Linked DNA regions of Schizosaccharomyces pombe. The protein of the gene in region 1 interacts with the protein of each later gene in a pairwise test. Each region holds a gene or a part of one and is shown in the gene's direction. Other genes may lie near its edges.

Region 1 (3,374 bases):
GAATATTGGTTCGGAAACCTCTATCCCCTTTGAAAACCATAATGAAATTACTAATATGAATACTGCAAAGGATAAGTTAAGTTCCAACGAGATGTATGAAAAGCTACGCGATTTGGGCTTTTCTGACGATCAAAGCAGATTGGCTTTAGAAAATTCCGGGAGCCTGGAGGATGCCATAGAGTACATTCTTGAAAAAGATAATGCAAAAGGACAGTATCGTGAAGGAGAAGCTTATGAAGCATTTTCAGATTCAAGTGCAAAAACTCAATTTTCAGACTTTCAAGCGTTATCCAATCAATTAAAAAGTCAGTTATTTGAAAAGGCTAATGATCTTTGGAACATTGGAAGAAAGAAACTTAGAGATGCAGTTGAGGAGAGGCGAGCGGTGAAAGATCCTAGCAAACCTCGTTGGATGGATGCTTCCCATGATTTTGGCCGCGAAGCAACTCCTGAAATCCTTCCTAAAACCCCAATTCCCAAACGGAAGCCGCACAAAGTTCCTATGAATGAAAAGGTTTCTGAAGACAGAATCACCACTAATCAAAGCCGGTCAGGAAATGATGAATCATCTTTAGTCGATTTCTTAACTTCTAAGTCAGACAATAGCTCTTTTAACTTTCCATCCGATACGTACGAAGGGACAGAGAATATACTTGAAACGGCTTATGAATCAACAACGGCTCGTCAAGTTAACAATAATAAACCTGGGAAGTCCACTGTTAAGAAGCGCGAAGAAGAGACTTTGAATAACATGGTAAGCGCTCTAGTAGAAGAACAACAATCGACAGGAAATGAACTTTTTCGCAAAGGTGATTTTAGCCAAGCCATTGAAGAGTTTACAAACTCGCTTTCTCAATTACCTGCCAAGCATACAAAGCGTGTCCCTCTTCTCAGCAACCGTAGCTTGTGTTATCAGAAAGTTGGAGATCTCAAGACTTGCTTACAAGACGTAGATGAGCTAGTGGATATTATTGGAGAAGAAAAAGGACATGGAGAAAGCATTAGAGACAAGAGTATGAATGATTACTATGTAAAAAATATGGTTCGAAAGGCACAAGTTTTAGAGCAGCTCGAAAAGTACCAAGAATCTTTGAATATTTGGAAAGATCTTATTGCAGACGGGCAAATAAGCAAGCTATATATTGATGGTAAACACAGGTGCGAAGCAGCCATTTCTTCTCACTCCTCCGAATCTCATTCTAAGCGCACAACACAACAGCCAAAAAGTACCCCTAATCACACCAATATAAAGGTAAAATCAGAGAGGTTACAACACGTTCGAATGGCTCAGCAAAAAGCAGAGCAATTAGACGAAGAAAGAAGTCGTTTACGTGAGCCAGTGCAACAAATTGTGAATAAGTGGAAAGAGGGGAAAGAGAGCAACTTACGAGCACTGCTTGCTTCCTTAGATACTATTTTGTGGCCTGAATGCCGCTGGCAAAAGGTTTCGCTTTCTGAATTGGTCTTACCAAAGAAGGTGAAGATTGCCTACATGAAAGCGGTGTCCCGAGTGCATCCTGATAAACTACCCCAGCAGACTTCAGTGGAACATCAATTAATAGCTGAATCTGCATTTAGCATTCTTAATCATGCCTGGGAACTTTTTAAACAGCAAAACGATCTTTAATTACAAATAGTGAGACTTTGGTTCTGCGCTACACTCTCTTGCATGAACCAAGATGTGTGACAGTATTTTTGTCGGTTAGCGTAAAACATTTGCAGCGGTTTACTTATCCATTGCAATCTTAATTTCATTTATTAAAAATTTATTTCTCATGGAGCCTGGAAAAAAGGATTATATAGATTCTCCTTTGAGGATGCAACCAGCCTCACTTTCTGGCGCATCTACACCAACTATTGATTTAGACGGGCTTTCTTGGCCTTGTAAGTAATGAAAGCATATTTTATACTCATTTAAGTATTCTAATACCAATTAGGTCAAGGAACACAACGTAGAATAGATACTGCTGAGGAAGAAAAAGTAAAAAAAATTTCCAATGCTATTTCAACAATTTTGGAATGTTTGGGAGAAGATCCTGAGAGACAAGGCCTTTTGGGAACACCTGAGAGGTATGCCAAGGCAATGCTTTACTTTACCAAAGGATACGAGCAAAATTTGACCGAAGTGATCAATGAGGCAGTATTTCAAGAAGATCACGAAGAAATGGTCATTGTTAGAGATATTGATGTATTCAGTTTGTGCGAGCATCATTTGGTTCCTTTTATTGGAAAAGTAGGTTTCATTTAGAAGTGGATTTTATCCATTGCATTCACGTGATTGGGCTATGCAATTATGTTTAACCCTCTTTCACAAACTCAGCGTATTAAACTAACATTATTGTAGATTCATATTGGTTATATTCCTCGTAAGCGTGTATTGGGACTTTCAAAGCTCGCACGTATAGCCAATATGTTTTCGCGTCGCCTACAGGTGCAGGAGCGTCTTACCAAACAAGTTGCCCAAGCTATTCAAGCTGTCTTAAAACCTCAGGGAGTTGCAGTCGTTATGGAAGCTACTCATATGTGCATGGTTATGCGCGGTGTTGAAAAACCGGGTAGCAGTACTGTTACTAGTAGTCTTACTGGTATATTTCAGAGAAGCCATAAAACTAGGGAGGAGTTTTTTAGATTGATTGGAAAATTTTAATTTTGGTTTTATTTTGTTCGTTAATCGCTAGAGGTGATACCGTCCGTAAATTCCTATTACAACTAAATGGTATTATATTTTTATTTTTTTTTGCATTCCAGTTTTTGAGTTGTTAAAACAATCACTTTTTTAAATATATCAATCCTTGCATATGTTTATTTATGCATACGATTTAGCAACCAAAGATTTTAAAAGCAGTCGAAAGTTCTCTCTCTATTACTCTTTAAAAATATGAATGCCCTTCTTCAGTTGTTTTTCACGAATTTTTTTTTTTTTTTTTTTGATATCTTAGTATTATGAGAAGAAATTCGAACACATGGTCGTTTTTCATATGGCTTATTTTATTTTCTTGAAAATTGACCGGAGCTATTTCACTCCACCTTACTATTATTAGCCTCAACGTGCTAAGGAAGACGTTATCCTAATGGAAAACTACTATTTAAGTTTTCTTTTTGAACGTTGTTTCGAATCACTTTTTTGGTTACATGGTAAATTAGTCCATGTTATTATATACATATATGAAGTTTCAACAATTTTATTAATTATTTACTAAGTTTTGCTGTGTAAGACTTTCAATTTGCAAGAGCTCAATTAATAGTTTATCATCAAATATATTATGAATGAATAATCTTTGTACCGTAATCGATAAGTATTGCAAGCAACTTACAGTGATTGTATTGATATACCCTAGACACATTATTATAAAGGTAAATGTCTCGTTAATTAT
Region 2 (4,232 bases), 2.1 Mb from region 1:
GTATATAAGTTCATAGAATAGAACTGTACGTACGTCTTTGGCACAGTTCTTTAAAATTGCGGATCTTTAATTGTGTATATTACTATATGGAGGTAGCATATGGATTTACCAAAAAGCATTTTATGGATAATTTGTTATTCATAAAATTATGTTTGTTGGAAATACACTGACAGAAACAAGCACTCTAATTTTCAATTGAGCTACAGTTGTTTGTTTTATCATTAGGAGAAAACAGGAATTCATACGACGCTGATTTATATAGATGTATACGTAAGTTTATTTATTTATTTTTTCTCGTCGGGCCTGAAATGCACTGTACTGTAATGTCATGGCATGCTTCAATGCTAATGTAATAGGAAAAAAATCACAGTACACAAATTTTTATGAGTGCTGATATTCTCGCAATGGAGAAACGCTAGGTTTAACGTAAGCATGATGTTTAAATTTGCCAGTACAATTAGAAAACAGGTTGTAAGTCCACCTTTGATATTAGGTCACAGTTCAAATCACTTTTGATTGTATTGCACATGATATTACGTTTACTAAGATTTCGCATCAATTTTAATATTGCAAGTTCTAAGGTAGCAGCATATTATTGAAAATTGAAATTTCAAATGGAAAAGTGATTCACATGCGTCCATTAAAATATAAAAAATAAAAAAAGAAATTTATATCTAGAATAAATTATTGTTTCTTTTAGCGGCAGAAAAACTAGTAGTAAAAATTTTATGCCAATAAATAAATATATAAAATAATGAACCTAAATAATCATATTGGCAATGTTTTCCAATTCAATCATCCGAAATGAATGATTGCAATGGATGAAGGAAAATAAAAACTTGTAAAAATGAAGGTCAGTAAGATTCAGTGTTTAAGATACCTCTCTGGTTTACAATCTTTTATGGACAAATATATGAACGGTTAATTCGATACAGTTCATCTGTTTCACTCGAATACTCAATATAATTTATTTACAATTCACCCATTAAATTAATATTTACCTTATTCATTCGCTTTCATTAATTTCATTCATTCACTTAGTCCCTTATTGTACCAACCTTGTCGCTCGGTACCGAATACAACAGTCGGCGGTTGATCATAGCTAACTAGTGCTAATAGCTAATTTCCTTAAGCAGACTTTTAATCCAACTGTGAATACCAATTACGTACTGTTTTGATTTAGTTAATATTTTCTTCCTCTTTTTTTTTTGCGCTTTTTTTCCATCGAAATCAAATATTATGAAGAATGACTTACTTCATAATTGCGATACCCGAAAACATCACTGATAAAGAGGGGATATCATATTAAAGAGTGAATACCGGTTAGGTCTTAGTTGATTCTTTGGATGTTGGATTGAGGTTTAGCTTGAAATGATGGTTGTCTTTCGTTTCAATTCACCTTTACAACATTTAATTTTTTTTTTAATGATCCATGATCACAATGCCATAATTTACGAAATCCTGGATTACGAGACTCCTGATCGAGCCGCAACTGCTGAATACAAGCGAACCTTGAATCGCAGGCGGATGAAGTATAAAGTTAACTCATATCAATTAAAGAGATTGCAAAGCGGCGGAACACCGTTCCCACGCTTCTAGTACTATGCGGAATGAATAAAAATATTAGGCGGAATGAATAGATTGTCGAGAATGGATTTCTCTCTCGAAATTACGTTCATTTCCTATACATCAGGGGATTATGACATAGAAACGTAAATGGATGTTCTCCGACAAAAAATAAAAAAAATATATTATATATAGAGATAGACGTGCGCCTTAATATATTTCCAATTTACTACGACTGACTAACTAACTAAATAACTGCGACTTTATTAAAAAAACATTAATAAAATGGATCCTGTTCCTAGCACACAAACTCAAAAATGGCCTGGCAAGCATGCCGACTTAGATCCTGAACCATCACTTCTCAGATATTGTGATGGACGGGTACATGTCGGATCAGGGAAACTTGCAGAGAAAAAGACATTGCTCACAGGAGGAGACTCTGGTATTGGTAAAGCAGCAGCGGTGATGTTTGCCAGAGAGGGATCTGATCTCGTTATATCATGCCTTCCAGAAGAAAGAGACGATGCAGAAGTTACGAGAGATTTAATTGAACGTGAAGGAAGAAATTGTTGGATATGGGAGGGAAAACTTGACAAGTCTGATAACTGTAGGGATTTGGTTGATTTTGCTCTAAAGAAGCTGGGTTGGATCGATGTATTGGTGAACAACATCGCATATCAACAGGTCGCTCAATCCATTGAAGATATCGACGATGAACAATGGGATCTCACTTTTAAAACGAACATCTTCTCCTTTTTCTGGGTCACCAAGGCCGCTATTTCGCATATGAAGAGCGGAAGTTCAATTGTCAATTGTTCCAGCATCAACGCTTATGTAGGACGACCTGATTTACTAGACTACACATCCACTAAGGGTGCCATTACCGCATTTACTCGGGGGTTGAGCAATCAATATGCGCAGCATGGTATTCGTGTGAATGCCGTTGCTCCTGGTCCCATCTACACACCTCTCGTTAGCTCCACATTTCCCAAGGAGAAGATTGAACTTTCTGACCAAGTTCCTCTTGGACGTATGGGACAGCCTGTTGAGGTTGCTTCTTGCTACCTTTTCCTTGCATGCTCAGATGGTGGTTACATGACAGGCCAAACTCTTCATCCTAACGGTGGAACTGTGATTAACAATTAAATTTTAAAGGAAGACGACGTTCATTTACTGTCGTCTATTACTTTTTTGGTTTGAAATGAATAATGCAGCAATTTAATTTTGCTGATCCGGATGATTGTTGAAGTTGTACTTTCATATACTTTTGAGATGTTCATTCTCATGAAGACAATGCATGATTTATGATAGCTATTTTGGTTCCAGTATATGGAAATGGATGAACAGTGAAGAAACCTTTTAATTTCCTCTATCTTTGCTTTCATAGCATGAAGAATGTTTATGATTTTATTTATACCTTTAGAATTACGGATATCTACGGTTATACACTGTAAACAGTGACTAACTAAAAATATTTTTTTGTCCTTAAGCTATTGTAAAACAAGTTTGTATGGTTCATAAATCATCTCTTATTTAGGCATTTAAATACTTGTATGAACTCCTTGAAATGCATTTGTGCAGGTAGGAAATCCATTCAAAATTTACATAGATACTCTTTTTCAACTGAGGAAAATATTATTATTTCCTTCCCCCTGCTTTGTAATTAATTCACTCTTCGTTGCTCTTTCATTAAAGACTAACTAACTTAGTATGAATCATTTGATTAAAAAAAAGTTGGAATACCAAATTGTTATTTTCTTCATATACTGCCATACACGTGCTTGTCAAAATGGTAGAAACAGAGTAACTAGAGAAGCATGAGTCATTTTCCAAGACAATGAGAGTAGAGTGTTGAAAAATATTTAACTATTCTACAAAAAATGATGACTAAAGTAAAATTAAATAGTTACTATACTCAAACATTTAATATTCTTAAATTTCAAATTTCAAATACCCAGTTAACGTGTTGTAACGAATCCTTATCTCATTCTTAGCCTACCCATTCGTATTCTAATACAATTGTGGGACATCATCATCTTTGTCATCTACCACCTATTAAAAGATAATAGCGGAAATTGCAAATTCATTGTTAAGTGCTTTGCTAGTTGTTTAGAAATAAAATGCTTTCCCGTTTTTCTTCCCAGTTGCGCTTTATTTCCGCAGTTAGGCCGGTGATTCCCAAATTTCAACCTTTGCGATTTTATAGCGTTGCTCGCCCTGATGCTGAAAAACGAATCCTTAAAGTTGTTTCTTCCTTTGACAAAATTCAGGACCCTAAAAAGGTATGTTTTGCATTCATTCAGTTGTTTTTTTTCACTCTATGTGTAATTTTGGATCTTAACATTTTTGTTATTTCCAATTTCAAGACTCATTGTAAAAGTCGTCGGCTTGAATTTACGAAAAAATTTTTTAGGTTAATGTTATCTTTGTTTTTTCTCTTTACCCCTATGCATTCTCTCTAACCATTCAGGTCACACCTACATCAACATTTGCGAATGACTTGGGTCTTGATTCTTTAGATGCTGTCGAGGTCGTTATGGCTATCGAAGAAGAATTTAGCATTCAAATTCCTGATAAGGATGCAGATGAAATTACTTCAGTCGGGGATGCCATCTCGTATATTACAAAAAACCCCGAAGGTATGAACTTTTTTTTCTCCTGAAACG

What was found.
Region 2: the proteins of fol2 (region 1) and SPOM_SPAC4H3.08 interact in a two-hybrid assay, tested with the Schizosaccharomyces pombe proteins (one large-scale study listed by BioGRID).

What each region holds. Positions count from the first base shown.
Region 1 is NC_003424.3:1,774,725-1,778,098, forward strand, and holds fol2 (GTP cyclohydrolase), read left to right. Parts: upstream 1-1,775; coding exon 1,776-1,884; intron 1,885-1,937; coding exon 1,938-2,233; intron 2,234-2,344; coding exon 2,345-2,647; downstream 2,648-3,374. Other genes in the region: UBA/TPR/DNAJ domain protein Ucp7, read left to right, coding at 1-1,627.
Region 2 is NC_003424.3:3,839,730-3,843,961, forward strand, and holds SPOM_SPAC4H3.08 (3-hydroxyacyl-CoA dehydrogenase), read left to right. Parts: upstream 1-1,851; coding exon 1,852-2,712; 3' UTR 2,713-3,407; downstream 3,408-4,232. Other genes in the region: SPOM_SPAC4H3.09 (type II fatty acid synthase subunit), read left to right, coding at 3,687-3,848, 4,037-4,205.